4 linked regions of the Callithrix jacchus genome follow. The protein of the gene in region 1 purifies or fractionates together with the protein of each later gene. This does not show direct contact. Links are inferred from orthologs where the notes say so. Each region holds a gene or a part of one and is shown in the gene's direction. Other genes may lie near its edges. The genes, in order: EXOSC4, EXOSC10, HBS1L and DIS3L.

Evidence for each region.
Region 2: the proteins of EXOSC4 (region 1) and EXOSC10 purify together in Homo sapiens (affinity purification with mass spectrometry; 9 studies listed by BioGRID and IntAct, with this or other methods). This does not show direct contact. The link is inferred for Callithrix jacchus from reciprocal best matches to the Homo sapiens genes EXOSC4 and EXOSC10.
Region 3: the proteins of EXOSC4 (region 1) and HBS1L purify together in Homo sapiens (affinity purification with mass spectrometry; 3 studies listed by BioGRID and IntAct, with this or other methods). This does not show direct contact. The link is inferred for Callithrix jacchus from reciprocal best matches to the Homo sapiens genes EXOSC4 and HBS1L.
Region 4: the proteins of EXOSC4 (region 1) and DIS3L purify together in Homo sapiens (affinity purification with mass spectrometry; 5 studies listed by BioGRID and IntAct, with this or other methods). This does not show direct contact. The link is inferred for Callithrix jacchus from reciprocal best matches to the Homo sapiens genes EXOSC4 and DIS3L.

What each region holds. Positions count from the first base shown.
Region 1 is NC_133517.1:53,539,829-53,548,050, reverse strand, and holds EXOSC4 (exosome complex component RRP41), read left to right. Parts: upstream 1-2,959; 5' UTR 2,960-3,074; coding exon 3,075-3,245; intron 3,246-4,254; coding exon 4,255-4,461; intron 4,462-4,553; coding exon 4,554-4,880; coding exon of another isoform or gene 4,881-4,913; exon of another isoform or gene 4,914-4,956; intron 4,957-6,310; coding exon 6,311-6,448; 3' UTR 6,449-6,607; downstream 6,608-8,222. Other genes in the region: GPI-anchor transamidase component GPAA1, read left to right, coding at 6,958-7,031, 7,312-7,491, 7,575-7,686, 7,900-8,047, 8,125-8,222. UniProt on the Homo sapiens protein: Non-catalytic component of the RNA exosome complex which has 3'->5' exoribonuclease activity and participates in a multitude of cellular RNA processing and degradation events.
Region 2 is NC_133508.1:48,941,271-48,948,875, reverse strand, and holds the end of EXOSC10 (exosome complex component 10), read left to right. Parts: coding exon 1-81; intron 82-242; exon of another isoform or gene 243-1,151; coding exon 1,152-1,225; intron 1,226-2,623; coding exon 2,624-2,795; intron 2,796-3,615; coding exon 3,616-3,677; intron 3,678-4,231; coding exon 4,232-4,308; intron 4,309-5,272; coding exon 5,273-5,303; 3' UTR 5,304-5,409; downstream 5,410-7,605. UniProt on the Homo sapiens protein: Catalytic component of the RNA exosome complex which has 3'->5' exoribonuclease activity and participates in a multitude of cellular RNA processing and degradation events.
Region 3 is NC_133505.1:141,712,539-141,720,157, reverse strand, and holds part of HBS1L (HBS1-like protein), read left to right. Parts: intron 1-726; coding exon 727-835; intron 836-2,768; coding exon 2,769-3,031; intron 3,032-3,486; coding exon 3,487-3,652; intron 3,653-6,585; coding exon 6,586-6,703; intron 6,704-7,619. UniProt on the Homo sapiens protein: GTPase component of the Pelota-HBS1L complex, a complex that recognizes stalled ribosomes and triggers the No-Go Decay (NGD) pathway.
Region 4 is NC_133509.1:13,359,132-13,366,750, forward strand, and holds part of DIS3L (DIS3-like exonuclease 1), read left to right. Parts: coding exon 1-163; intron 164-2,290; coding exon 2,291-2,369; intron 2,370-3,608; coding exon 3,609-3,788; intron 3,789-7,619. UniProt on the Homo sapiens protein: Catalytic component of the RNA exosome complex which has 3'->5' exoribonuclease activity and participates in a multitude of cellular RNA processing and degradation events.

The sequences.
Region 1 (8,222 bases):
GCCGGGCAGCCGACAGAACTCCCTAGGTGTCTAGTCTTCCTGCGTGTGGCAAGGACTGTCAATGGACAGCCGCAACAACCACCCAGTCATGGCTGGGAGTGGTGGCTCACACCTGTAATCCTAGCACTCTGTGAGGCCGAGGTGGGTGGATCACCTGAGGTTAGGAGTTCGAGGCCAGCCTGGTCAACATGGCGAAACCCCGTCTCTGCTAAAAATACATCAAATTGGCCGGGCACAGTGGCTCATACTTGTAATCCCAGCACTGTGGGAGGCTGAGGCAGGTGGATAACTTGAGGTCAGGAGTTCAAGACCAGCATGGTAAAACCCCGTCTCTACTAAAAATACAAGAAAAAGGCTAGCAGGGCATGGTGGTGACTGCCTATAATCCCAGCTACTTGGGAGGCTGAGGTAGGAGCATTGTTTGAGCCCAGGAAGTGGAGGTTGCAGTGAGCTGAGACGGTGCCACTGCACTTCAGCCTGGGTAACAGCAAGACTCCGACTCAAAAAAAAAAAAAAAAAATAGCCAGGCATGGTGGCAGGTGCCTGTAATCCCAGCTACTTGGAAGGCTAAGATACAAGAAAGACTTGAACCCAAGAGGTGGATGGCATAGTAGGCTGATGTGGCACCACCTGGGCTGCTCCACAGTAAGCAGTGTCTGTCTGCAGAGCAGAGGGTGGGAAATCGGGGGTGCCCAGTGGCAGAGGATGGTGACCCATCATGGCCTCAGACCAGCTGCAGTAGGGCTGTGACTCACTCACTCACTCGAATGCCTCTGTCTTTCAGGAGAGCAGAACCACCTCGAGGGGATGCTGTGACTACTGAAATTGGGCACCTGTAGCAGACTGCATTGCCCTAGCTCACCTGCTCTTCTTAGTGTCATGCTGACACTCATACCACTGAAGGGTGGGGTCCAGGTCCCTGCAGGGTCCAGTCCTACAGGGTTCTGTGAGTCCCTCTTGGCTGGTGTGGAGACAAGAAATTGTAGAAATAAAAGACACAAGACACAGAGATAGAGAAAAGAGAGTTTGGGCCCAGGGGTCCACTGCTACCCAGGTCGTGGAGACCAGCAGTGGCCCCGAATGCCAGACGGGACACTCTCACTTTTATTGAGTTGCAAATCTGGGGGCAAGGTAGGTAGGATGTGGCGGCCTTGGTGGTCAGAGACTGGGGGCAGGGTGGATAGTACGTGGCAGTGATAGGGTCAAGTACATCATGTGTCATTCAGGTAGAGGCTCAGGAATTTCTGGCCCCCAAAGTGAGGCAAGAAGCATAATTCATCAGCGTCTTTTCCATACTTACCAAGAAAGAACTAAAACATTAAGATTTATATGACTGTTACTGATTATCTTTCCTAAGAAAAAAAGAAGCCAGGTGCAGAAGCAGAACATGAGAGTGGACCTGGTATGTGACCGCTGAAGCACAGCATCACACAGAGAGAGTTAAGCCCCTGATGTCTGTGGGCCTCCTGGCAACTGTCAGGCGTTACCACAAGAGCTTGGAGAAGTGGAGTTTTCTCCTAACTTCCCCAGGAAGGAGACATCTCAGCCATCTTGGACATCTCCTTCCCTAGCTGGCTAAACAGTGGGCGCTTTCACAGCACTGGAGCTGCCGCACGGCCGAGGTGCCCTCCAGCAGCCCTTCCTAGGCGTGACAGAGGGCTTAGAGCATCTTGCCTTAGTGTCATTCATTTCACAATGTCACCCCAGGTTCACACTTCCGACCTGATAGGCATTAGTAAAAGAATTAAGATCACCTATAAATAACTAAGATCACCTATGAATAACTAATAACTACTATGGTTATATTTCTAGTTACTTTCTTCTTCATTATTTATATGGAAATAGGCTGAGGTATTTCGCTCCTGCCTTGGCGGTCATAGATCCCCATCCCTTAAGCCTGGGCAGACTTGTCTGACTGACTTGACCCCAGAGTCTGGCAAGAGTGGCACTATATGACTTCTGAGCTAGGTCATAAAAATACCACACACGTCGCCCACCTTGTTGTCTTGGAAGGCTACCCTTGGAACCCAACTGCCATACTGCAAGGAAGCCTCGGTTGCATGTAGAAGCCACATGTAGGTGTGCTGCCTAACAGCCACACGTGAGGTCCTGGCCCGCCACCAGCATCAGTCACCGAAGATATGAGGGAGAAAACTTTGAGGATGGCTCCAGCCCCAGCCACCATCTAGCAGGAACTGCAGGAGAGATCCTAAATGCAAACTACCTAGCTGAGCCTAGGTAACACCAGACTGCAGAACATCATAAAATAATCATGTTATTCGAAGCCACTGAGGTTAGGTGGCAAGAGATAAACAGACATACAACGCCTCTTTGGAAAGGATGAGGAATCAGCATCCTCAAAGGGAAACGGGAGGCCCACTTGACTGCAGTGTGGGAGCTCGGTGTAACGGAGGGCAAGGGAGGAATGGAGGTGCCAGGTGTGGACCATGCTGGGACACCAGCCCGGTCACCTTCCTAGGACCCCTCAATGCCTTCTCTTCTCCTGTCAGTCAATGCTGCAACCACTAAGTTCATCCTTCCACTTTCACACTTACAGTGCGGGGAAGGCTGAATAATGCAGGCACCATTGGTCCCGAGGGCGTGGCTTCGGAATTCCTCCTTCAGCGGGCGCCCACTTCTTGGCACCCGTGGCACAGCTCCGGGAACGGCCGCGGGCCTAGCCCCCGCTTCCCCGACAGAGCCGCTGCAGCTCCCCGGAGACAGAAGCAGAGCCGGACCGCCGAAAACCGTAGATCCTGGGAGGTCGGGGCCGCGGGTAGCTGTAGTTTCCCGGGACCGGAAGTGGCAACGGACCGCCGGAAATCTTAGATCCGGGGACCTCGGGGCGGCGGTTAGCTGTAGTTTCCCGGGACCAGAAGTGGCAACGGACCGCCGAAAACCATAGATCCGGGGAAGTCGGGGCCGCGGGGAGTTGCAGTTCCGCGGACCCGGAAGTGACAGAGGACCACCGGAAACCGTAGATCCGGGGAAGTCGTAGCCGCCTGGAGCTCTAGTTCTCCAGTTCTCCAGCGGCTCAGAGAACTAAGCCGAGAGGGAGTTGGCGGCCGGGCGGAATGGCGGGGCTGGAGCTCTTATCGGACCAGGGCTACCGGGTGGACGGGCGGCGCGCCGGGGAGCTGCGCAAAATCCAGGCGCGGATGGGCGTGTTCGCGCAGGCTGACGGCTCGGCCTACATCGAGCAGGGCAACACCAAGGCGCTGGCGGTGGTCTACGGCCCGCACGAGGCGAGTGGGAGGGGAAATCGTGCGGTCGCGGAGCCGCAGGGCAGCCGGGCTGAGCACAGGCTCAGGGACTTGAGGGGCAACGGCCGGCGCGCCTCCGACCACACAGCCGATGCTCAGCACCGCATGTCACTCGGAGTAAACGCAAGTCCTTAGTGCACTGAGCGGTGGTCCTGCCTTTCTCATCGGCTTGTCCCTGCGCCCTCCCTTCTCTTTGCGGCTCTTCAGCTCCCCCACTCGCCCCGTCACCTCTCAGCTCTACTCCGACGTCACTCCTCCCCAGACAACCTTATCCACGCGGTACTTCCCCTCCCTACAATAAACCCTTCCTTGTCTTTTGTGCACCTACGATCTCAAACGCCTGTTTTGCTTAAGCACGTTCACCTTTGTTTCCTTGCTGGAACATAAGCTTCCTAAAGACAGGAACTTTACATGAAACTCTATGGTTTCACTGCGGTTCCCAGCGCTGTAACAGTGCCTGGCCAGCAAAGGTATTGAAAATGTGCTTAGCGCATGGCTGTGGGAGCTCTGCTTTCTAGGCGCAGGGAAGCACGAGGGCGAAGACCACGGGGGTGAAAACAAGCATAGCACTTAGGCAGAGCAGAAAGACTGCTGGTGGGGAAAGGGGGTAACTCCAAATTAAAGTAGAGTGTTTCCGGGGAGGTGAGGACTTGGGATTTTGTAGACCAGGGAAAGGATTTGGGATTTTATTTCACATGTAATGTAACGCCTTCGTAAGTTAATTAGGATTTGAGTGTGTACGTGAGATAGAATCAGCCTTGATGTTTGTAAACTTGGGCTGGAAGGGAATGGGACAAGGATGGACACAAAGCAGCCAACTAAAAGATGCATGCCAGGAGGAAAAACGAGCAAAACAGGGGGCTTTGTTTTGGAGGTAAAGTAGTTGCCTCTTGCTGAGGCCTTGAAAGTGAAAGGAGAGGCAGACCCCCAGAGTACAGTGGAGTGTGAGCTGGAAGAAGTGGGCCTGGCTCATGTGTCCATCTTCTTCCAGATCCGGGGCTCGCGGGCTCGAGCCCTGCCAGACAGGGCCCTAGTGAACTGTCAATATAGTTCAGCGACCTTCAGCACCGGTGAGCGCAAGCGACGGCCACATGGGGACCGTAAGTCCTGTGAGATGGGCCTACAACTCCGCCAGACTTTCGAAGCAGCCATCCTCACACAGCTGCACCCACGCTCCCAGATTGATATCTATGTGCAGGTGAGCCGGCTGCAGCCTGCAATCCAGGGAGGGAAGAGTGTGATGGGATTGAGGAGGGAGTCTGATGAACTGACACCCTGGGGTCCTCGCAGGTGCTACAGGCAGATGGTGGGACTTACGCAGCGTGTGTGAATGCAGCCACGCTGGCAGTGCTGGATGCTGGCATACCCATGAGAGACTTTGTGTGTGCGTGCTCAGCTGGCTTCGTGGACGGCACAGCCCTGGCAGACCTCAGCCATGTGGAGGAAGCAGCTGGTGGCCCCCAGCTGGCCCTGGCCCTGCTGCCAGCTTCAGGCCAGATTGCGCTGCTTGAGATGGATGCCCGGCTGCATGAGGACCACCTGGAGCAGGTGTTGGAGGCTGCTGCCCAGGCTGCTCAAGATGTGCACATCCTCTTGGACCGAGTTGTCCGGCAGCATGTGCGTGAGGCCTCTATCTTGCTGGGGGATTGACCACCCTGCCACCCATGTCCAGAATAAAACCCTCCTCCGCCCACACACTCCTCACTGTACTTTGATCACCCAACAGCACTTTGGAGCTATGTGAAGCCCTGCAGAGCCTGGCCTGGTACTGGCTACTGGGAATGACCAGGGACCCTCTTATATAGAGAACTGTCTATCTCTGTATATCCTGATTGAAACCCTGAAGAGAACAGTGGATTAGGGGGTTGAGGAGAGATAGTTCCTGGGTGGAAAAAGCAGCATGTCCCAGTAAGGACTCAAGGCAGCTGAGTAAGAGGCAGGGCCTGGCAAGATGAGCCAGGCCATTAGACTGAGGAATCTATTCTTACTCCAGCACATCGGGAGCCCTGAGCAAAGGGCTGAGGAAAAACTCAGCTGGCTCTGGGTACCCACCCTAGAGATGTGGGTAGCCATGTCCCACAGCCTGTGGACTATGGCTTGGAACCCCTTGGGCTTTTCCTGCTGCTTACCCTGGACTCTAAAAGTACAAAAGCCAGGCATAGTGGCTTACACCTGTAATCCCAGAATTTTGGGAAGCTGAGGCAGATGGATTGCTTCAGGTCAGGAATTTGAGACTAGCCTGGCCAACATGGCAAAATCCCATCTCTACTGCAAATACAAAAATTAGCTGAGGTGGTAACACACACCTGTATAATCCCAGCTACTTGGGAGGCAGAGGCAGGAAAATCTCTTGAACCTGGGAAGTGGAGGTTGCAGTGAGCCGAGATCGTGCCACTGCACTCCAGCCTGGGCAATAGGGCAAGACTCCATCTAAAAAAATAAAAGTACAAAAAACGTGTTCTCATGGATCAGTAGAGGTCAGGAGTTCGAGACCAGCCTAGCCAACATGGTGAAACCCCATCTCTACCAAAGATATAAAAATTAGTGTGATAGTGGGCACCTGTAGCCCCAGGTACTTGGGAGCCTGAGGCAAGAGAATTGCTTGAACTGGGAGGCCAAACCCCACACCAGAGGTTGCACCACTGGACTCCAGCCTGGGTGACAGAGCAAGACTTTGTCTTACACACACACAAAAAAACCTGTTCTCATATGGAGTCTTCAGCTTTGACTCTTTCTGCCCACCACATTTTTGTTTGTTGAGACATGGTCTTGGTCTGTCACTCAGGCTGGAGTGCAGTGGTGTGATCACGGCTCACTACAGCCTCGACCTCCCAGGCTCAAGCAATCCTCCCCCTTTAGCCTCCTGAGTAACTGAGCTGAGACTAGAGGCATGCCCCACTCCACCTGGCTAGTTTTAAAAGCTTTTTTGTAGAGACTAGGTCTCACTTTGTTGTCCAGGCTGGTCTCAAGGGATCCTCCCACCTCAGCTTCCCAAACTGCACCCTCTTCTTGAGCAAACTCCGCCTTCATCCACCTCTGACCCACAGATCTGGCCAAGCCCTGACTACCCGCTCCTGCAGTCTGGACCCTGGGGCTGCTTCTCCCCTAATATTCCAAGGGTCTCCTGGCACAGACAGGGATGGTATGCTCCCCACTTTATGCTGCGCACACCCCAGCTCCAGTAGTGCCATCAGCATCTTTGCAGTCATCTGACTCGAAACCTTGGTGCTGGGCTCACGCTGTGACTCCACTGGGACGTCCTGAGTCACTAACATGCTTGGCATCCGGCCTTCCACCCCCTGCCCGGCTCATCGCCTCTGACTCCTGCGGGCCTTCCAGCCGTCCCCTGACCAGCTCGGGCATCTCTGCTCTTCACGGCCGTAGGGCCACCCGCCTGCCTCCGGGTCGGTGCACTCCCGGTCCGACTCTCCTGGAGGCAGCGCCCAGCGAACTCGGAAACCCGCCTTCACCAGCACAGCCAATGCTCCGGCCGACCGCTGCTCTGGGCTTGCGCGCCGGCCGTAGAGCGTTGGGGGCGCGCCCTGTGCTCTGGGCATGCGCGCCGCCGCGGGCGTCGCTGGGACCGGAAGTGCGGGCGAGCGCGCGTCCCCGGGTCTGACAGGAGTCGCCTACGGGCGCCGCGGCGGCAGTCGGAGGCGCGAGAGGGCTAGTAGCCGCGCCGCCCTGCCCAGCCATGGGCCTCCTGTCGGACCCGGTGCGCCGGCGCGCGCTCGCCCGCCTCGTGCTGCGCCTCAACGCGCCGCTGTGGTGAGGGCAGGGTCCGGGGAGGCGGGGACCCGCGGGCCCCGGACTCGCGCGGTCCCCATCGAGGGCCGGGACCCCTCCGGCTGCTCGCGCCCCTCCGCTCCTGCCCCCTAGAAGCACCGAGGGTGTCCGGCGCAGGCTCAGCTCTCCCGTCCGGCGTCCCGATGCCGGACTCTGGGTCTAAGTCTCGGACCCGCGCGGTCTTCCCCGGGTGCGGAGATTGGCTCGGGCCGGCGCCCCAGGACCCACTGACGCTTCGGTGCCCCTCCGTCCTCTCCCACAGCGTGCTGAGCTACTTGGCGGGCATCGCCTGGTTCTTGGCGCTCGCTTTCCCGCCGCTGACCCAGCGCACTTACATGTCGGAGAACGCCATGGGCTCCACCATGGTGGAGGAGCAGTTTGCGGGCGGAGACCGTGCCCGGGCTTTTGCCCGGGACTTCGCCGCCCACCGCAGGAAGTCGGGGTGAGCGGCAGAGCAGTGCGTGTGGCGCAGGCCGTGGTGGCTGAGGCCGGAGCTCTGCTCAGTGGCTCCCTTCGTGTCTGCAGGGCGCTGCCAGTGGCCTGGCTGGAACGGACCATGCGGTCAGTCGGGCTGGAGGTCTACACGCAGAGCTTCTCCCGGAAACTGCCCTTCCCAGATGAGACCCACGAGCGCTATGTATCGGCGGGGGGCAGGGGGGGTGCCCAGAAAGCACCTTGGAGGGAGGGGTCTGGGCTGGGTATCACCTTGGGGGATGTCATGGGGCCGGAAAGTTCAGTGGGAGAGAAATCCCTGGTGGGCATTGGAGGGCTAGGAAAGTCGGGGGGCGGCGAACCTTCGGCCCCTACCACAAGATTACACTGAGGCTCTTCCCTCCGATACTCCATACAGATGGTGTCAGGCACCAACGTGTACGGCATTCTGCGGGCCCCGCGTGCTGCCAGCACCGAGTCGCTTGTGCTCACCGTGCCCTGTGGCTCTGACTCTACCAACAGCCAGGCTGTGGGGCTGTTGTTGGCACTGGCTGCCCACTTCCGGGGTGAGGCTCAGGGCTGCTGGCCAGGGAGGGGTTTGGCCAGTGCCCCAGGCCCTGCTGATCCTGCTTCTGGCCTCCAGGGCAGATATACTGGGCCAAAGATATCATCTTCCTGGTAACAGAATATGACCTTCTGGGTACTGAGGCTTGGCTTGAAGCTTACCACGATGTCAATGTC
Region 2 (7,605 bases), on another chromosome or scaffold:
GCAACCGTTGGAAGCTGGCTCAGATACAAGTGCAAAAAGAGTCTAAGGAAACTGACAAGAAGAAGGCAGCTGAACAAACAGGTAGCATTCACTTCCCTGTCACTCAGTCGGCTGCTAAGGGACGGCTGTTTCAGCCAAGTGCCAGATTCAGCCGCGAGTGAAATCGGCACAGCCCTGCCCTGTTGGGCTTCCCTTCTGCTGAGGGATGGTGGGCACTCAGTGTTCCTCCCATCATATGGCAGCAGGTGCTGTGTAGATTGACTGTGGAGAGTGCTGGGGGTGCTGTAGCTATGTCCTGACGGTGGCTGGAGAAGGCAGTCTAATGAATGCGACACTGAAGACACCTGAGCAACCTAGCGAAGAGTGTTCTGGAGCCACAGCACAGCGAGCCCAGAAGCCCTGGGGTAGTTCACTGGGCATGCTCAGCAGCAGCAAGTGGGCCACAGGAGCAGAACAGGAGAAGAGCAGGAGATGGGGAAGGAGCCAGCAGGGGCCCACAGGATGACACTGCCTATTACTCCGAGTTCAGAAGCCAGGAGGGGGCTGTGGCCCTCTGGCCACTGTGTTGAGAGTAGACTAGAAAGGAAAGGACAAGAGCCCGGGAAGGGGTAGGAGACGCGACAGTGACCCAGGTGACGGGATGATGGCTTTGAGACCAGCATGGGAGCAGGGGAGGTGGTGAGAAGCAGTCAGAGCCTGGATCTGGCCTGTAGCAAAGCTGACAGCATTTGATGATGAGGTGGATGTGGCATGTGAGAGAAAGGAGTGAGCCTTGGGTGACGGTTTTGTCCTGAGCAGCTGGAAAGCTGGAGTCGCTGGCAGCCAAAGTAGCTGGTTTGAGTGGACATGTCCATAATGGAGACGATCCTATTAAACACCCTCAGGTCCACAGGCCACTGAGCATTCGGGTTCACAGGAGAGGATTAGGCAGGGCTGGGGAGGATCAGCTCACGTGTAGGTGAAGGTGGGCAGAGCACTGCAGCCTCAGTCCCAGGCAGCCTGTCCTGTAGAGGTTGGGGGACCAGGGAGCTGAGAGGGACGGGGGATCAGCTGTGACAAGCCCTGTGGCTAGGCTGAGTTGGAGGAGGATGGAGATGGAGGAGGGTGGTTGCTGGATTCAGCAACTCCAGAGACAGTTCTGTCCCTTACAGCTGCCCGGGAGCAGGCGAAGGAAGCATGCGGGGCTGTAGCAGAGCAGGCCATCTCCGTCCGACAGCAGGCCGCGGTACGTGCCAGCTTTTCTCTCCTTTTTCCTTTGAGAAACGATGCCCCTGCTTATGGACAGGGTCTTCCTCAGGTGTCTTAGGGGCTTGCCCTGTGCTTTATATTAAGTGCTGCCTTCTTTCCAGGTCACTTAGCTTAGCCATTAGGGTCCACCTCATTTCCAAAACCTCCACAGTGCTGATACTGTAATTCCTGTTACCCTTCTTCCTCTGCGTTTGTGGTAAATATGCCAGACCACTCAACTATAGTAGTAGTAGAAAAGGCACTGAAGTTACAGCATTGAAGCCTGTGTGTCCCGCTCTACCCTACAAAATGTTTGTTTTTTTTTTGTTTTTTGAAGTAGGGTCTACCTCTGTTACACAGGCTGGAGTGCAGTGGCACAGTCATAGCTCACTGCAGCCTCAAACTCCTGAGCTCAAAGATCCTCCCACCTCAGCCACCTAAGTAGCTAGGACCACGGGCACACACCACCATGCCCAGCTATCTTTTGTTATTGTTTTTGGTGGAGACGGTCTCACAGTGTTGCCCAGGCTGTCACTCAAATTCTTAACCCCTGCCCCCTGCCTTTTCTTTCTTTCTTTTTTTTTTTTTTTTTTCCATTTACTTTTTTTAAAAATAGTGACATGGGAGTACAGTGGTGTGATTATTGCAGCCTTGTACTCCTGGGCTCAAGCAATCCTCCCACCTTGGCCTCCCAGGTAGCTAGAACTACAAGCATGCACCACCTTGCCTGGCTAGCTTTTCTTCATTTTTTTATAGAGACAGGTCTTGCTGTGTTGCCCAGGCTGGTCTCAGACTCCTGGCCTAAAGCAGTCCTCCTACCTCAGCCACCCAAAGCACTGGAATTATAGGCGTGAGCCACTGCACCTGACCTGCTTGTCTTTCTTAAATGACCTCATGTCATTGTCCAGTGAGGAATTTGTTTCAACTAACCCTGAGTGTTGGTCTGGATGTCCAGCCACTACTCTTCTCCCACCACTGACTATTCTTTTTTTTTTTTAAGACAAAGTCTTTATCTGTCGCCAGGCTAGACTGCAGTGGCACAATCTCGGCTCACTGCAACCTCCGACTCCTGGGTTCAAGCAGTTCTCCTGCCTCAGCCTTCTAAGTAGCTGGGACATAGGCATGCGCCACCACACCTAGCTAATTTTTTGTATTTTTAGTAGAGAAGGGGTTTCACCACATTGGCCGGGATGGTCTCGATCTCTTGACCTCTTGATCTACCCACCTCAGCCTCCCAAAGTGCTGGGATTATAGGTGTGAGCCTATACGTGGGCCCAGCCACTGACTGTTCTTCTAACCACTTAGGCAGCTGGGTCCTGGCTACTGCTGAGGCCAGGGGGGTTCCCTCTCCCATGCGCCTCCCTATTCCTCACCCACATGTGTTCCTGGTCTATAGCTAGAAAATGCTGCGAAGAAGAGAGAGCGAACAACAAGTGACCCAAGGACCCCAGAACAGAAACAGGAGAAGAAACGACTCAAAATTTCCAAGAAGCCAAAGGACCCAGGGCCACCAGAAAAAGATTTTACACCTTACGACTACAGCCAGTCAGACTTCAAGGCTTTTGCTGGTGAGGAAGTTCTGGGGCCCATACAGGGACATCTGCATGCATCAGGTGGGAGGAGACACAGAGTATAGAGACCGCAACACAGTGGCCGAGTCAGTCCTGCACAGGGCGTGGCATTAGCCAGGAATTATTGGAGTGGTCCAGAGGGGCCATGGCAATGTGGAAAGATGCCTGCAGCCCCATCACCACCTCCTTCACAGGAACTCACTGTCAGGGTGGCCTCTGTGGTGGGTTAGCAAGATCACCTGTCACTTCCATTGGGACCAGCACTCCATCCTTCCTCACTGTAACTCGTGCCCAGAAAAACACACACACACACACACACACAAAACACATGGTAAAGATTTTGTTTGTTGAAAAATCTCAATGCCTATGACATGAAGCCCTAGGGCTGCTTGGGCTGTAAGAGTCCGCCTGCTTTGAAGGGGCTGCAGATGGCATTCCCGGCTCCAGCAGCTTCCAGAGCAACATGCAATGTTGCTTTATACAGGAGTGTCGCCTCGGAGCCCAAGTTCCTGATGGTGTCACCCAGCACAGAGATCAGAATGCATTTCCTTACATGCAGGGGCCACTGCTCTAGCCACCTGTCCCTAACGTCCTAGGACTAGAGCCAAGAGAAGCAGGCATGGTCTTCGGACTGCCTGCAGGGACCAGGATCACCATGTGTTCATTTACATGAGCCACAAGCCCCTCATCGTAATGGGTGTTGCGCTCTGACAGCCAAGGCTTCCCCAAGTGTCGTGGTCCCAGCCTCGCTGTGAGCCTGTGATGTGTGGTAACCCACTGACCTGACTGCAGGGCTCTCTCATCTCTTACCCTGCAGGAATAAGCAAATCCAAAGCTTCTTCCCAGTTTGATCCAAACAAACAGACCCTGTCTGGCAAGGTAAGAACTGTTCCTGGAGGATTTGAGCACACCGGTAGCACCTATTTTTGATCTCTTCCCCTGCTGAGAAGACAGGCCCATCTAGGAATCTATTTCTTTGCATATCTTTTTTCTCACCTCATTTCTTCCCAAGTGCAGACATACCCATCAACTACCCCAGCAACTCATAAAATGAGGTCGTAAAAGCTGCTGTGTGGTTTTAAAGGTATTATTTGTGTTTCCTACCATGGGAACTATAGCTGCAGGCCAAAAGCACCCCGTTTGGGGCCAGCACAAGCCTGCATTCGCCCCACGTGGGTGTTGGTGCCGCTGGCAGGCAGACAGTGTGGACGCAGGTTCCACATGTGGGAGGCAGGGCTGCTTGAGGCCCTCCTGTTCCTCTTGCTGCACATCTGAGCAGCCTTGCCTTCAGAAACACAGAAATGTCCCTCTTGCCGGGAATCAAAAGTCACACCTCTGCTGCTAGAATCTTTGGCTGCCTGAGCCCAGGCGTGTTTTTCTGCATGTCTTATGGTCCTGGTGGCACCCAGCTTCAATGTTTCTTATCTTTTCAGAAATGTATTGCAGCCAAAAAAATTAAACAGTCATTGGGAAACAAAAGCATGTCCTTTCCAACTGGAAAATCAGACAGGTATGTGGTGGACAGCTGCGTGGCCCAGGGAGCCCAATGAGAGAGCACCTGCTGTGTGTGGTGCTGGATAGCTGCACAGCCCAGGTTGCCCAGTGAGAGAGCACCTGTCGTGCATGGTGCTGTTGGTGGGGAGCAGTTGAGGAGCCACTGCCCAGGGGCTTCAACAGGAAGACTCAGAGAAACTCCCACAGCCAGGTCCCCCTCGACACTCCGATAACAAGGGCAGGAGGTGATTAGCTCTGTGCTACACATCACGTCTGCAGGCACTGCGCCCCAGGACACAGATTCCCCTTGTGCCTGGCTCTCCAGTTACTGTTTCCTGGAGTCACTCTGTGAAAATAGACATGAATAGTTGTGAAATTTTCCTGGACCAGCCTGTTAGGAATGAGGAAAAAGTAAGCATGTGTGGGTTATCCTTGTTGAAGAGTGGTTTGGTCTCTCTTGTGGCAGTCTCACTCTGTCTCCCTGGCTGGAGTGCAGTTGTAGCCTCCTGGGTTTAAGCAAGTCTCTTAACTCAGCCTCCCAAGCAGCTGGGATTTCAGGTGCCTGCCACCATGCCGGGCTAATGTTTTTGTATTTTTAGTAGAGATGGGGTTTTGCCTTGTTGGCTGGGCTGGTCTCAAACTCCTGGCCTCAGTTGATCCTCCCGCCTCAGCCTCCGAGAGTACTGGGATTACAGGAATGAGCCACTGCACTCGTCCAAATGTTTTTGTTAAAAGCATAACATCCTAATAAGCCAATGCTGAGCTCAGGGGACTTGCCCAAGGGCAGGAAGGACAGGTCTGTGTCCTTTAGATGTTGCTCAGCTCAGCCAACTCTGGTGGGCCGCTGAGGTCCCTGAGACCCCTGAACAAACCATTCTCCCCCGTTCTGCATGATTAAGGTTTGCACCATCTTGTAAACCATCTGAGAACGTCCAACCAACCCAGAAGAAATAACTGTTTTTTTTGTACTGTCTCTGCAGAGGCTTCAGGTACAACTGGCCACAGAGATAGTCCTGGAAGACACGTGGCGCCCACGGAGCAGAAGCACCAGATGTCGGTGCTGCTTTTGTACAGACGTATTTTTAAACCATTAAAAAAAAATTCTTCCTGGAAGAAAGTTGATTCCTGATTTTTATTTTGCTGCCGCCACAGCTCTGTCAGGAAGGATAGATCCCCATCCTGTTTAGGCAATCATCTTCAGGTGTCTGGGCAGGTAAGTGCCCTGGGGTTACCATGACTTCCAGAGAATGCAGAGCCACACCCAAGGAGGAATACGAGACAAATTCCTGGGACTCAGAAGCAGGCAGCACCTGCAGAGCACAGGGTGTGGTGGTCATCCGCCTCCACTTTTAGGGGGTTCTCTGGGCCGTTTCACTTCCTTCTCAAGCCTTCAGGTATCGTGAATGGAGCCAACTGGTAAAAAATGCCATTGGGAAAGGAACTGGTAAGGTACTCTAGCATCAGCCATGGCTCCTGAGGACCTGTTCTCTAGTCTGTTCCTTTCACACCTTTTTTTTTAAATCAACTTTGTTTCTTTTCTGATTATAGAAGTAACAACATGTTCATTGCAAGAAATGTTGGAAATACAGAAGATCGCAAGGCCAGTCCCAGTGGCTCACTCCTGTAATCCCAGCACTTTGGGAGGCCAAGTTGGGTGGTTCACAAGGTCAAGAAATCGAGACCATCCTGGTCAACATGGTGAAATCCCGTCTCTACTAAAAATAGAAAAATTAGCTGGGCATGGTGGTGTGTGCCTATAGTCCCAGCTACTTAGGAGGCTGGGGCAGGAGAATCCGTTGAACGCAGGAGGCAGGGGTTGCAGTAAGCCGAGATCGCGCCACTGCACTCCAGCCTGGTGACAAAGTGAGGCTCCGTCTCAAAGAAAATGCGAAGAGAAAATTTTAATCGTCGATAGTCCCACCACACCAAGGTGCTCTTTTTTTTTTTTTTTTTCCTTTTTTTGAGACAGGGTCTCACTGTTGCCCAGTCTGGAGTTCAGTGTTGTGATCTCGGCTCACTGCAGCCTTGTCCTCTCAGGCTCAAGTGAACCTGCCACCTCAGCCTCCCACGCAGCTGAGACAACAGGCACATGCCACCACACCTGAGTAGTTTTTCTTATGTTTTAGAGACAGGTTCTGGCTGTGTTGCCCAGGCCAGTGTTGAACTCCTGGCCTCAAGTGATCCTCACGTCTTGACCTCCCAGTGTTGGGATTTCAGGCATGAGCCACTACACCTGGATGAGATAATCTTTAACATTTTGCTTTATTTCCTTATAAGCTTTTGCTGTGTGTATATAGATGTATTTTTAAATTTACAAACGACTTTATGTTTCTATTATTTTTCACCTTAAAGTTTATATTATGAGACTTTTCTCAATGTAAAATTTATTTTTGTCAACCCCTATGTTAAACATTTAGGTTTTCATTTTCAGTACTATTCTTAATAATGCAGCAGTGAACTTCTTATATAAATCTGTGACCCAATCTCTGATTATTTCTTTGGAATTTCATGTTATTTTAATCCTGAGATGGGCTGTTAAATCAAGAAAGCACAGAATGCCATTATTTTTTTACAAATACTTAAACTAAGAACCGTTTTTCTTTGAAATCCATCCCACAAATTATTGAGATTGCCAACTGTATATAATACCCTTTGGGGTGTACCAAGCTAAATCACAAATCGCTGCTGTCAGAGAGCTCTCAGTCAAGCAGAACAGGACAGGACACCCCTGTCCTAAGATAGGCTTGAGTTTGTATTAGCTAGGACTGGACTGGTTGAAAGTGACAGAAAAGCCAAACTATTAGTAACTTAACAAGAGAGATGATTTTCCGCTTTTTTAAATATAGTTGGTCCAGAGCTAGTATGATGCTCATGATCATCAAACACAGGCTGCTATCCTGTTTTACTATCCTCAGCTCAAACACAAGGCTGCCACCTCATGGTGCAGGGTGACTGCCCTTGCTCCAGCTATTACATTCTCATTCCAGTCAGCTGGAAGGAGGAAAGAAGAGCACCCAGTCTTTGGGGGTTTTTTTGTTTTTTTGTTTTTTTTTTTTTTGAGATGGAGTTTCGCTCTTGTTACCCAGGCTGGAGTGCAATGGCGCGATCTCGGCTCACCGCAACCTCCACCTCCTGGGTTCAGGCAATTCTCCTGCCTCAGCCTCCTGAGTAGCTGGGATTACAGGCCTGCGTCACCATGCCCAACTAATTTTTTGTATTTTTAGTAGAGACAGGGTTTCACCATGTTGACCAGGATGGTCTCGATCTCTTGACCTCGTGATCCACCTGCCTCCGCCCCCCAAAGTGCTGGGAT
Region 3 (7,619 bases), on another chromosome or scaffold:
GCGTCTTGCTTTGTCACCCAGGCTGGAGTGCAGTGGTGTGATTGTAGCTCACTACAACCTTAAACTCCTGGGCTCAAACCACCTTCCACCTTAGCCTCTCAAGTAGCTGGGACTAAAAGCACTTGCCACCATGCCTGACTAATTCCCCCATGTTCTTAATTTATTTTTTCTACGTTAACCTCGTTCCCCAGGTTCTTTGTAGATATCCGTATTTTAGTAAGTCTAGTGTTGTGTGCAAGTAAAATATGTACAATATTCCAGCGTAATTTAGCAGACTCTCAACTTGTTCATCAGTTCATAAATCTCACAGGATTAAAAATAGTTTAGCCATCTGCTAACTGACCAAACAATTTTAGTATTGTGAAAGGGCGTGGTAGGAAAGGGAGATATAGGGTCTAGGTATAATGTCAGAACAAGGCTCAGTGTAGAAACTACCTTGTGACCTCTTCATACTGAAACTTAACAGTCAGTTCAAAATTAGGAAGAGATTTGGTGGAGGTTAAGCATTGGAGAGTCCTGACAATAGGGGATTTCCTAGATTAAAGAGACAGAATTTCTTTCAGCTTTAATATCTCACAAAGTTTTTTTAGAGAAAAGATAGTATGTTTATAAAGACATGAATTCTGTGAAAATTATAATCTATAATTTAAAATAGTATGTAATAGATTTCTGTATATTACTAAAGAAATTAATTAATTGGCCTTTTATATTTTACTCCTTAATTAGGAAAACCAGTAGATTCCCAGTCATCGCGAAGTGAATCTGAAATTGTGCCGAAAGTTGCCAAAATGACTGTATCTGGAAAGAAGCAAACTATGGGATTTGAAGTGCCTGGGTAAGACTTGAGTACCTCCGTCACCCCCGCCCCCATGTCCACCCCCAACCTCACGGATTGTCTCCTATTAGTCTGTAAGAAAGAGACTTTCAATTTTGCATAATGTGTCATTAGCATTGAAGTATCATATATCCTCCGTATAACATAGTACAAAGAGACAAAAGGAGAAATTAGGCTTGATTCTGGCCTTACGTATGTGTATTACTTATCCTACCTCACCATCAATTTTCTCACATAAATATTTTATAGCTACTTTAACATAAAAAAAAATCTGATTTGGTGAAACCTGGCACCGTCAGATAGGGAATTCTTATACCGCTAGGTGGCACAGGTAACCAGACTTCAGAATGAGTCAGCAAATCATGGAATCATTAGTTAAATTTTCTAATGACTGAAATATTTTTAAACTCTTTTGAATTTTCATATTGAATGAATTGGATCATTGTGGCAAACAGATGATATGAAACACACCTGGAATTTCAAATATCTTGTGAAAATGGAAGTCACCACACCTTGGTAGCTCGTGTTTGTTCTCATCACAGTCTCTAGAATCCTTCCAGGAGTTCTTAAAGACAAGGGAAGTGAGTTGCTTTGAAGCCATTAATTTTCAAGTTCTAAAATTTTTCAGAATTTTCAGTTGTTCAATAAAGCTGTTACTTATAAATTATATGTATTTTGTCTGCCAAATTGATAAAGAAACATTGTTATCAAATATAAACAATAGGTTTTTACTATAAACAATAGATTTTTATATCCTTTTTTTTCTTTCTTTTCTCCCTTTTCCAAAATTATATTTTTTAAGAAACACAAACTCAGGAGCCTTATTTTTTTCCCTTACAATATTCTTTTATCTAAATTAGTGCGGTATCATGAGTTTTGGTTGGGAAGAATGTTAATCATCACCTAGTTCAATTTTTGGATTTTATAGATTTCAAAGTCAGTGAAGGAAAGGACTCCTTCTCTAAGACATAGTACACATTCAGTATACATTAATTGAATGATTGGATGAATGAAAAATTTAATTTAATTTTTATCACCTGTTAAAATAATTTAGAATTCTGATTCAGTCTCAAAAATCTTCATGTATGTCTTTTTTCCTTCTGAATTAGGATTGGGTTATCAGAATAATTGACCTTTTTTTCCTTAATCTTGAATGCCATTTAATTCTGTTATGGGATTTTTCCATCGAGGGAGAGAGAGGAAATACATAGAATACACAAGTTATTGTTCTAAGGATTTTATATTCTTTCAAGGAAAGAATAAGTTAAGCTGGATAGTCTTGTTTCTCCTTTACATATCTGAGTTCCTCACTAGATTGTAATCTTTTGGGAGTGGTAGTTAGCTTTTTCATTTCTATGTCATTTTCTTTTCAACATCAGTCCCTAGTATATGTTGTAGTTTTTAGTAAATCGGGTGTTTGTTGAATTAATTAATTAAAGCTCCACTGTCAAAAATGTTTATGAACTGTAGTCATTTAGAGATATCTCCCCTGAGGGGGATAATAAAAAGGATCATAAGTTTATCATGTTGGAAGGATGAGTTGGGGTAAAACTATATTTTAGTACTAATTCTACTCCAGTAATATATTTGGTGCCATTTTTACAAAATATCCCCTTTATACCATTGATTTTGATAGGATGGATTATATCGCCAAGGCTTAGATTTTGAATTTCAGTTATTTTTAAAGATATTTTCTTCATACCTTCATTTTTTGGTACACTGTTTTTCTCTTGGGATCTTCCACATCTGTATTTGTGTGGTTTGAGTCTAGCTACTTATCATTTCCACCTTAACAGACTCTAGCTACTTAGCAGAGATTATTTTTGGTCTGGAGTATAAAGAATTATGAAGAAACAGTTTTTCTGCCCTTCTGACATTATAGAACATCAGTCGAGTTGGTTTAAAATGCTTTTTTCCTGTCTGCCTTCTGTAGAGTAACTTCTGAAGAAAATGGTCATAGTTTCCACACACCTCAAAAGGGACCGCCCAGTGAAGATGTCAGCATTGCTGCTTCTGATGTTCTTGAGACTGCTTCTAAATCTGCTAATCCACCCCACATGATTCAAGCCTCAGAAGAGCAGAGTTTAGCCCCAGCATCAATGAGAAAGTCTGGCAAGCTGAGACAGCAAATAGATGTGAAGGTGGAACTGGAGAAGCGGCAAGGAGGGAAGCAGCTCCTCAACTTAGTGGTCATTGGTAATGCCCTTTGTCCCTCTGGATCGTCAGCCTCCATGCCTTACCCTGCCCACTGTCTTGTGGCCGCATGGAAATTCCGAGTTCTCGATAGGTGGAATGGACAGAAAGCGAGGAGGCACGGCCTCATAATGCTTTCTAGTCACCTGAGGAGAGAGAATGCCAAGTTACCGAAGAAGTCATTACACTTGGTTGTGGGATTTTTTGTTTTGTGAACATTTTGAAATTGGCATGTCTTGTTGACAATTTTAATTTCCAAAAATCTGAGAAACTTACCCCCTCTGTAAAGAGACTTGCTCTTTTTTTTTCTATTTAGATGTTTTAACTGTCATTTGATAAATACTGGCATTATTACTGTAAACCACTGACATGAAATAGTGAGTTATACATGTATGCAATGCCTCAGTGTGAACGTCTGGAAATGTACCTGGTATTAATCCTGAATCAATTTTCTTTAGGTCATGTTGATGCTGGGAAAAGTACTCTGATGGGCCATATGCTTTATCTTCTGGGTAATGTAAACAAAAGAACTATGCATAAGTATGAACAGGAGTCTAAAAAGGCTGGCAAAGCTTCGTTTGCATATGCATGGGTCTTGGATGAGACTGGCGAAGAAAGGGAAAGGTAGTCACTATATTTTGTAATTTTCAGTTTGAAGTCATATAGTCTTCTAAAATAAGTGTATAATATGTCTCAAATTTGTAAAACATATGAAATACGTTAGAGACTATTTTTAGAAAATAGCTTTTAAATATCAGGGAAAATCTACATACTGTTTTTACTCCTCGAAACTTTATGGAAATAGATTAAAAGAATGTTTGTCAGAAACAAAGTAAAACAAAAGCCATGCAGAAAAAAAAACAGTAAAAATCATAAGCTAATTATTCTATGGGATAAGTTTCAGTTGTTACTTCCTTAAGTACATGTCAAATTGTCTTGATTTTGAATTAAAAGTAAGACTTTTAATTTCATGTCAGCTTACAAAGGAAATGTAACTGTAGTAAAACCTCTTTTGTCTAGAATCTAAGTAACCAGCAAATTCAAATTACTAAATAATTCATTTTTATACTTTATATATTCTGTTTTTGTGAGACAGCAAACAAGTAATTCTGTAGCTATAATGCAGTCAGTTACTTATCTTTCTCTGTTACTGTGTTAAGTGCTAATTTTGGGGAGATTCTAATAGGAATATGCAGCTACTAATATACTCTGGCCAAAGAATAGTATTTCTTTTGAAGTATATTTAGAGTGACAGTATATATCATGCTAGGGTGGGAGAGCCAAAGGACACCTTGATAATGTCATGGCAGATATATCAACTGTGTCAAAATAATAACTATTTACAAACCAAGTCCTGTGAAAGTCTTAAATTAGCAAGGAGATTAAACTGTGTTCCCTGATGTCTTCAGTCTGATTATTGGAGAATGTATCTGGATATTCATGCCTTTTTAATATGTATTTTCTTGCAGTCTTGCATAGTATCCATTATAATATATGAGATAATGCTCTGTAGAGCAGGTCACAGTATTCCTTACCTCTTCTGGTAAACCAGAATTTGTATCATAATGTTTTCTCTTTCTTTGCGGGTGTCTTTAATTCTATATAGTATCACAGGCCTGTTTTCTATCCTAGTAAGAAAAATTAGCTGGACAGTTGCCAATTATGGAAAACAATGGAATTGTATATGATACAATATTAGAAGCCTAAATAATTTTCACCTGTCAGTTTAACAAGCACATTATTAAAGTATGTAGTTTTTTAGTTTTCTCTGCGTTATCTAATAAGTAGGTAAAGACATTGAGAACAGTATATTTAAGTTAGAATGGTTCACTTGAAGTTAACTAAGTTACCTAGTATCTTAGTTGAGCTGGCAAGTGAACTAATAATTGATTTGAATCCTACAATGGTCAGTCATTTTAGCTTTTTTGATAATGTTATCTATTGATTGGTTTTCATATTTTTGCTGCTGCTGGTTCTTTATTGCTCAGCATAAGTTTTAGAATATTTCTTCATTCCATAGACAGCAGATGCTTTCAGGTATATAATGGGAGTTTTAGCTCACCACCATATGTTCCTTAATAGCATTTACAAAATGTAATATGTTGCTTATCCCACCATGTTAAATATTTGTAAATCCCTTGTTCTTCTCAGATACTGAAGAACAGAAATGAGTAAATTTCATATCCTTTGGGTTGCAATGACATTTCATATCCTTAGGGTTACAAATTGAAATCAGAGCTGGGTCAGCAGAGTATACTCAGGTCAGTCTACAGAGGATCTCGGAGTAAGTCTTAGTTCGCCATTATTCTGAAGGTGCCCGTGGTGCTTGGATTATTGGGAATTATTAAAGAGAATTAAGCATCACTTTGTCAAACTTGGATGGCCCAGGCTTTCAGGTTAAACTCAAATGTCTTGACTAAGGAGACCCACAGTTACTTTATTGCTAGGGCAAACCTATAGTTTGTTATTCTAATTGTTGTACTCTTTTGGTAGTAAAAGGGAGTACTATTATTCATTACTTTGGATGATTCGGGGGCAGACCTCGTTTATTGCCTGCATGATTTCCCCATCTAAATGTCTGAGGCCTAGAATGACTGAGTGTCCCTGTAGACCTCCTTAGGCCTCTTATACAGGCTGAGGATCCCTAATCTGAAAATCTGAAATTCAAAATGCTCAAAAATCTGAAACATTTTGAGTGTTGGCATGACATCGCAAGTGGCACATTCTACATCTGATCTCATATGACAGGTCACACAAAACGACTAAAAATGTTGCATAAGAGTCCCTTCAGGCTATGTGTATAATGTGTATATGGAACATAAATGAATTTTGTGTTTAGACTTGGGTCCCATCCCTTAGATATCTCATTATGTATATGCAAATATTCCAAATCCAAACAAATGTGAAATTTGAAAAACTTCTAATCCCAAGCATTTCACTAATCTGAATCTATATTTTTTTGTGGCTGAAAAAGGCACTGTGTTGGTCTACAAGAAGAATTAAATAGGATAAAAAGCAGTCTGCTGTTCATGTCTCTCCGTTTCTTGAAAATTAAGCATCTGCTTTGATATCTTGTGTTTTCTAAATATGTAACATACTGACCAGCCTTGCAAATGAAAGTTTTAGAAGCTCATTTCTATAACTAGTGAAGCATAAGCATAGAACATGAAGAAAATTACCTCTTGGTAATGGTAATTTTTCATTTATCTTTTCTCATGTGCAGTATTTTTCCCCCATTTAGAGTTGTCCCCATATATGTTTCTTTGTTCACAGTTTACACTATTTCTTACAAAAAAAAATAAGGTAAGAGGGCATAACTATCATTTTTATTGAGCTCTTACTGCGAACACAACTTCATGTTGTTAAAGCCATATGAATGCACTTCTATGATACCAGACATTCCAGCCCTGATTGATAATTTAATTTTTCAAAAATAATGGTCTATAAATAAAATTTCCATTTTTACCTAAGAATTTAGATAATCATGTAGACTATTATTAATTTACTCTATAGCACTATTACATAGTACGTTCTAACCATTTTATGTTTTGTTTAAGGGGAGTAACCATGGATGTTGGTATGACCAAGTTTGAAACCACAACCAAAGTTATTACATTAATGGATGCTCCAGGCCATAAGGACTTCATTCCAAATATGATTACAGGAGCAGCCCAGGTAACTAATATTTTCTTCACAATAGTGTACTGACTGTACTTTATAAAATTTCCTAATGCTGAGGTTACAATTCTAGGATTTTAACTTTTAAAATATTTTAAAATGGAAAGTTTTAACCTTTATCAAGTTTGAACAAGAAAACAGCAATATTGTATTTTTCATGATCTTTTTACCTGTACTTTGTAAAATCTTGTTAAATTTCTTACAAAGAAACTATGTATAAAAGCTATGAATTTCTTTATTGTAAAAGGAATGGTAAAGGACTTGAGGTATAGCTTCATATTTCCTTTATTGATAAGTTGGCATGAATATTTCAAAATCTGCCTTATGTCTTTCGATATATTCAAGTCCTGTATCTTTTTAAAGAGCTTATTTATGCAGAAATAATGAAGCTTGGGTATTTTTACCCAGTGGTTTATTTACTTCCTTTAATAGTATTAAAAAGCATTACAATTTGTAAATTACATGATTCTTAGTAAGAATGCTACAAAAAATCAAATATAATTTGCAGTCATGCATCCTTTAATGATAAGGATATTTCTGAGAAATTAGTTGTTAGGCAGCTTCATTTGTGGACATATTAGTGTAATTTACACAAACCTGGATGGTAACATCTATTATACACCTAGACTATGTGGAGCCTGTAGCTTCAAGGCTGCAAACATGTTTAACATATTCCTGTATTGAATACTGTCAGCAGTTGTAGCACAGTGGTAATTGTGTATCTAAACTGATCTAAGCATATTATAGAAAAGGTACAGTAAAAATAGGGCATAAAAGATAAAAGATGATCCACCTGTATGGGGCATTTACCATGAATTGAGCTTGCAGGACTGGAAGTTGCTCTGGATGATTTGGTGAGTGAGCGGTGAGTGAATGTGAAGCCCTAGGACATTACTACACACTACTGTATACT
Region 4 (7,619 bases), on another chromosome or scaffold:
TTTCTGGCCTGATTTAAAAGCTGCCCGCGAACTTTGTGATTCTATCCTTCAGTCTCGACGGGAGAGAGAGAATGAGAGTCAGGAGAGCCATGGGAAGGAGTATCCAGAACATCTTCCCCTGGAAGTGTTGGAAGCTGGGATTAAATCTGGACGCTATATCCAGGTGAGGGTGCTAATTTAGAATGAGTCAGGGCTGGGAGTGGTGGCTCATGCCTATAATCCTAACACTCTGGCTAAGGCTGGTAGATCACTTGAGCCCAAGAGTTGGAGACTAGACTGGGTAACATAGTGAGACCCTGTCTCTACAAAAAGTTTTAAAATTAGCCAGGTGTAGTGGTATGCACCTATAGTCCCAGATTACTCGGGAGGCTGAGGCAGGAGGATCACTTCAACCTGGATGGTTGAGGGAGCCATGATTGTGCCACTGTACTCCAGCCTGGGCAACAGTGAGAACCTGTCTCAAGGAAAAAAAAAAAAAAAGAATTTGTCAGGACCAGCCAGTGTGTTTTCTTCTCTTTTTACTGTCTGCTGTCACAGGCCTCTGATTTCACAGACTGCAAACAAGATGGGCATGAGTCAGGGCTGTTGATGTTTCAGGTGACTTGGGAGTCATTCTTTCTGTGGACGCTGCTTGTCCAGCTTGAAGTCACCCTACGATGAAGTCCTCAATTCTGTTATATGTTGAGCATCACACAAGCAGAATGTGGAGGCAGCCTGGTAAATGCCTCCTGTCACTAGGAAAAAACACATCTTTTTCAGTCAAGGTCTGGAGGTTTGGCGATATTGTAAAATTGGTGACGTTTAGCTCCTTTCCTCCTTTGCCATTTTCTCTCTGCCCCTTTCAAGGGCCTCTCTCTGATCCTCCCAGGATCCTAACCCAAATGCTGTCAGGGTCTTGGGACGCAATCAGATACAATTTTTCTTCAGATTTCAAGTTTTATATACACTCATTTATGTGTGCATGTGTGTGTAGCCCTGTGCAGTTTTATCACATGCGTAGGTATGTGTATCCACCACCACAATCAAGATACAGAACGGTTCCTTCATGGATTTTACATTTCTAATGAGCAACTCAATAGATTGTCAGTCACAATCTAAGAACAGCACTCCAAAGCCCCTCCCTGAAAGTGTGGGGATTTTAAATGAGTATGCCTAGAGAGGCTAATGCTGCCAACTTGGTAGTAAAGTTTATAGCATTCCTGGGAGGAGATTTTAAGATAGAAGATTTTTAAAAGACTGCTCATCAGTTACATTAGATAGAGCCTGGTGCATTCAGCACTTTGTATAGCTAAGAGTAGTTCAAAATGATGGTATTTTTCTCTGGAGAAAATAAATCTTAGTGATTGATATTATTCCTAGCCAGGCATGGTGGCTCACGCCTGTAATCCCAGCACTTTGGAAGGCCGAGGTGGATCACAAGGTCAGGAGTTCAAGACCAGCCTGGCCAACATGGTGATACCCTGTCTCTATTAAAAGTACAAAAAATTAGCTGGGCATAGTGGTGCATGCTTGTAATTCCAGCTACTTGGGAGGCTGAGGCAGGAGAATTACTTGAACCCAGGAGGCAGCGGTTACAGTGAGCTGAGATGGTGACAGAGCAAGACTGTCTTGAAAATATATATTAGAAAAAAAAAAGGGCCAGGCGCGGTGGCACACACCTATAATCCCAGCACTTCGGGGAGGCCGAGGCAGGTGGATCATGAGATCAAGAGATCGAGACCATCCTGGTCAACAAGGTGAAACCCCGTCTCTACTAAAAATACAAAAATTAGCTGGGCATGGTGGTGTGCGCCTGTAGTCCCAGCTACTCGGGAGGCTGAGGCAGGAAAATTGTTTGAACCCAGGAGGCGGAGGTTGCGGTGAGCCGAGATTATGCCATTGCACTCCAGTCTGGGTAACAACGGCGAAACTCCGTCTCAAAAAAAAAAAAAAGATATATATTTTTTTCCTAAAGAATTATATATATATAATTTTATATATAAATAAATAATTATATATTTATATATAATTTTATATATAAATAAATAATTATATATTTATATATAATTTTATATATAAATAAATAATTATATATTTATATATAATTTTATATATAAATAAATAATTATATATTTATATATAATATGTATATAAATTATTTTATATATATATATAAAATTTCTAAAGGGATCACAAACCTTAAAAGAATATTATGGGGATGTTTTCACATCATTTTAAAAAACTGGACCTTTCGGAGATAAACCAGGCAGAAAAAAACATTTTTCACATTGATTTTTTATTTTTATTTTAGGGAATTCTGAATGTCAACAAACACAGAGCCCAAATGGAAGCTTTTGTTCGACTTCAAGGAGCCAGCAGCAAAGATTCAGGTTCAGTATAAACCTTACATAAATTTCCATACCACTCTTTTGTTCTGACATTATACAATGAAGAAAGCAAAGTTGAAATTGTCATGTCAGATGTGCCCTGTCCTGTATGCGTATATACACTGTGTATGTGGGATTATGGGGGGTTTTCCCCTAGTTGTTTTTTTTTTCCTATAATTTCTGATTTTATCATATTAAATTTAAACTACAATACAGAGAGGCAAAGTAATTTGCCCAGGGTCACACACCTGGTAAGTGGTGGAGCTGAACTTGTGGTGGTAGCCCAGGCAGTTTGGATGTGATTTTAAAATATTACTTTGTGCTGCTTCAATGCGATATATTACTTTAGTGGAATAATTTTTTTTAAGTAATAAAAATGAAAAAAATATGTAAATAAGTTGTATCATAATCAGGTGTCGTTCTTAGTTTTGTAATAACAGGGTGAGAAAGAAACCGTGCTAGTCAAAGGAGCATGGCTGGGTTGAGGGAGAATGAGCAGCTGGCTTTCTTTCTTTTTTTTTTTGAAGACAGTTTCGCTCTTGTTACCCAGGCTGGAGTGCAAGGGCGCGATCTCAGCTCACCGCAACCTCCACCTCCTGGGTTCAGGCAATTCTCCTGCCTCAGCCTCCCGAGTAGCTGGGATTACAGGCACGCGCCACTATGCCCAGCTAATTTTTTGTATGTTTAGTAGAGACGAGGTTTCACTATGTTGACCAGGATGGTCTCGATCTTTTGACCTTGTGATCAACCTGCCTCGGCCTCCCAAAGTGCTGGGATTACAGGCATGAGCCACTGTGCCCGGCGAGCAACTGGCTTCCTATGGGCCTTTGCTAGTCAGAATTCTCCCTGTCGGTTCTGCCTTATTTATAGTTCCTCAGCCCACTGACCACTCCCTTGGCTGTGTAGGATCCTGAAGGTATTGGGCAGAATTCCAGCATAGGCTCACATAATTGCATGCAGGGAACTAACACCTTTTTAAAAGGTGGTGAGGTAGGGGGGAGTGTTTTTTAAAGGATGATTGAGGGTGGCACTTAGGAAAGCTCATTATACAGTATGACACCGTGCCAGCAATTCTTCATTCCTAGCCTGCAGAACGAAAGAAGTTTGACTTTACCTTTGAAAGGAAGAAGCTTTATTTGCAGAAGTGCTGATTACACTTGGAATATATTATGCACTGAATGCCTCACTGGTGTGACATTCCCCTAGCTTTATGGATTTTTTTCTCTGCTGTCCCAAACACAGATTTAGTCAGTGACATCCTAATCCACGGGATGAAGGCTCGAAACCGCTCGATTCATGGGGATGTGGTAGTTGTGGAGCTGCTCCCTAAAAATGAATGGAAAGGAAGGACCACAGCCCTGTGTGAGAATGACAGTGACGACAAAGCCTGGGGCGAATCCCCAACTGAGCCCATGCCTACGGGTGAGCCCGCTGGAGAGCCACTCCGGTGTCCATTTTTCTTGTGGAATTATATTTTTCTTCTCTTTAGCAAGCCAGAAATACTGCCTTTATTTAATTCATTAATTAATTTAAATGGACAAATAAAAACTATGTATATTTATTGTATATCACATGATGTTTTGATGTAATACATTGGAGAATGGCTAGACTGAGCTAATTAACCTCTGTATTAACCTCACACACTGTGTGGTGAAAACACTTAAGATCTACTCTCTCAGTGATTTTCAAGAATACAGTACATTGTTATTTTTTTTTTTTTTTTTTTTTAATTTTTTATTAGATTTTAGGTTTTGGGGTACATGAGCAGAGCATGCAAGACAGTTGCGTAGGAACACACATGGCAGTGTGCTTTTCTTTCCTTCTCCCCTTCACCCACATTTGGCATTTCTCCCCAGGCTATCCCTCCCCACCTCCCCCTCCCACTGGCCCTCCCCTTTTCCCCCCAATAGACCCCAGTGTTTAGTATTCCCCTTTCTGTGTCCATGTGTTCTCATTTTTCATCACCCGCCTATGAGTGAGAATATGCGGTGTTTCATTTTCTGTTCTTGTGTCAGTTTGCTGAGGATGACGTTCTCCAGATTCATCCATGTCCCTACAAACGACACAAACTCATCATTTCTGATTGCTGCATAATATTCCATGGTGTATATGTGCCACATTTTTCCAATCCAGTCTATCATCAATGGGCATTTTGGTTGATTCCAGGTCTTTGCAATTGTAAACAGTGCTGCAATGAACATTCGTGTACATGTGTCCTTATAGTAGAACGATTTATAGTCTTTTGGATATATACCCAGTAATGGGATTGCTGGGTCAAATGGAATATCTATTTCTAAGGCCTTGAGGAATCGCCACACTGTCTTCCACAATGGTTGAACTAATTTACACTCCCACCAACAGTGTAAAAGTGTTCCTTTTTCTCCACATCCTCTCCAGCATCTGTTGTCTCCAGATTTTTTAATGATCGCCATTCTAACTGGCATGAGATGGTATCTCAATGTGGTTTTGATTTGCATCTCTCTGATGACCAGTGACGATGAGCATTTTTTCATATGATTGTTGGCCTCATATATGTCTTCTTTCGTAAAGTGTCTGTTCATATCCTTTGCCCACTTTTGAATGGGCTTGTTTGTTTTTTTCCTGTAAATCCGTTTGAGTTCTTTGTAAATTCTGGATATCAGCCCTTTGTCAGATGGGTAAACTGCAAAGATTTTTTCCCATTCTGTTGGTTGCCGATCCACTCTAGAGTACATTGTTACTAACTATAGTCACAGGTTGTAGAATAATAGTTTCTAACATGAGATATAGTCTCTGCCCCTCCATCAGTTTCGCCTCTCTGCAGGTTTATTTCATCTCATCAGCACCCAAACGTGCTGTAATGGCTTCCATCTTAAAATCAAACCAAAAATCCTCTCTGGGTCCCATGTCCCTTTGAGCTACCGCCTCTTATCATGAAAGTATGGTTAACTCCATGTTTTCTCTTCCTCCCTGCTGGTCTCTCACACCTGCCATTGCGACATCTCCCAACCCCTACTCTCCATTCAAATTGTTCTTTTCAAGGTCACCAGTGATCCCATTGCCAGAGCACTGGTCGGCCCCCATCAGCTGGAACGGTCAGCAGCATTTGGCTAGAGTGCTTCTGCCTTGCCTTGGACTTCTCTCAGTTCTCCCACCCACTGGCTGCTCTTCTCACATCCTCTCCTGGCTCTCCATCTCATTGTCCTCTTGGACGTGCAAGGGACCCATGTTGAATCCCCTGTTCTCTGCACTCCCTTCCCTCGGGGATCTCCTGCAGTCATTTGATTTTGTATCTCCAGCCCTTCTTCAGCTTCCGGTCTTGTGTACTCAGTGGTCTATTTGACATCTGCCCCTGGATGTCTAATGGCATCTCATACTTAACGTGTCCCATGCAGACTCCTGATTTTACCCCCAGACCTGCTCTTCCCAGTGTGTTCCCCAGTCTCAGTAAAGGTCAAATTCATCAACCCAAGACACCTTGGGGTTATCATTTCACTGATCAGCAAATGCTGGCAGCTCCAACTCTAATGCGTGGCCTGAATTCAGCCACCTGCCACACTTCCCCCACAGCTCTCCCACTTCAGTCCACTGTGACCTCAGGACTATCTCAGCAGCCTCCTGGCTGTTCTCCCTGCTCCTACCCTTCCCCCTCCTGGTGTAGTCTTTTCTCCACTCAGAGGCACAATGATCCTTGAGAAAGTGAGTTGGGGAGCCAGGTGTGGTGGCTCACACCTGTAATCCCAGCAGTTTGGGAGGCCGAGGTAGATGGATCACTTGAGGTCAGGAGTTGGAGACCATCCTGGCCAATATGGTGAAACCCTATCTCTACTAAAAATTAGCCAGGCGCAGTGACGCACGCCTGTAGTCCCAGCTACTCGAGAGGCTGAGGTGGGAGAATCACTTGAACCCAGGAGGCAGAGGTTGCAGTGAGCCGAGATGGCGCCGCTGAACTCCAGCCTGGGCAAGAGAGTGAGATTCTCTCTCAAAAAAAAGAAAAAAAAAGGAAAGCGAGAGTTGGCTCCTGTCATTTCTCTGCTCAAAACTCTTCAATGGCTGCTTCCTGCTTCACTCAGAATAAAATCCAAAGTCCTTACCGTGGCCTACAGGGTCCCCCCAGCTAAGGCCACCTTCTGCCATTTTCTCCTTTTTCCTTCTGCTTCAGCTGCACCTATGACTTGTTCTTTCCACCACCTGGATCCAGCTTTTCCCCAACACCCTCACATCTGTTTTCCTCACTTCACTGAAGTCACTTTATTTAAAGTTGCTGCCGCTTCTGACCCTCTGTCACTCTTGGTCACCTTACCCTACCTTGTTTCTTCTTAGCAACTGCCACAGCTTCACTTTTTTCGGTCTATTTTCTACCCCCACAGATACCCAAACTGATTTTATATAAACCGCATGAAATCAGGGACTTTGCATGTTATGATGCTGCTATATTCCCTATACCCAGAACAAAATCTTATACCTGGTTGGAGTTCAATATTTGTGGAAAAAAAGGAAAAAGATACCACTTTTAACGATTAAAGTTTGGTCTCAGCTTCAGTCAGTGATAATTGAAAATGTTGTGCATGAGTCTTATGATCTGTTTACTTTGCTATGGATAATGGGTCAAATGGTGAAGGCAAGAAAGACTGCAAATGCGCAGTGGAGGGCATGGTTTAAAACAAGGGTGAGAATCACTGACTTTTCCCAATATACTAAAATTTGAGACTGATAAGATAATGGCAAAAGAGAGAAAATGGGACGAGTGGATTATAAATGTTATCTCAGGCCCCATGGAAGAGACAGCATACTGACAATGTTATTTTAAAAGTTACCCATCGGCCAGGTGCGGTGGCTCAAGTCTGTAATCCCAGCACGTTGGGGGCGCCGAGGTGGGCTGATCACGAGGTCAAGAGATTGAGACCATCCTGGCCAACATGGTGAAACCCTTTCTCTACTAAAAATACAAAAAAAATTAGCTGGGTGTGGTGGCGTGTGCCTGTAGTCCCAGCTACCCGGGAGGCTGAGGCAGAATTGCTTGAACCTGGGAGGCAGAGGTTACAGTGAGCAGAGATCGCGTCACTGCACTCCAGCCTGGCAACAGAGCAAGACTCTGTCTTAAAAAAAAAAAAAAGTTACCCATCTTTGGCTGGGCGTGGTGGCTCACACCTGGAATCTCAGCACTTTGGGAGGCCAAGGTGAATGGTCAACCTGAGGTCAGGAGTTCAAGACCAGCCTGACCAACATGGCAAAACCCCGTCACTACTAAAAAAAGGACAAAATTAGCCGGGC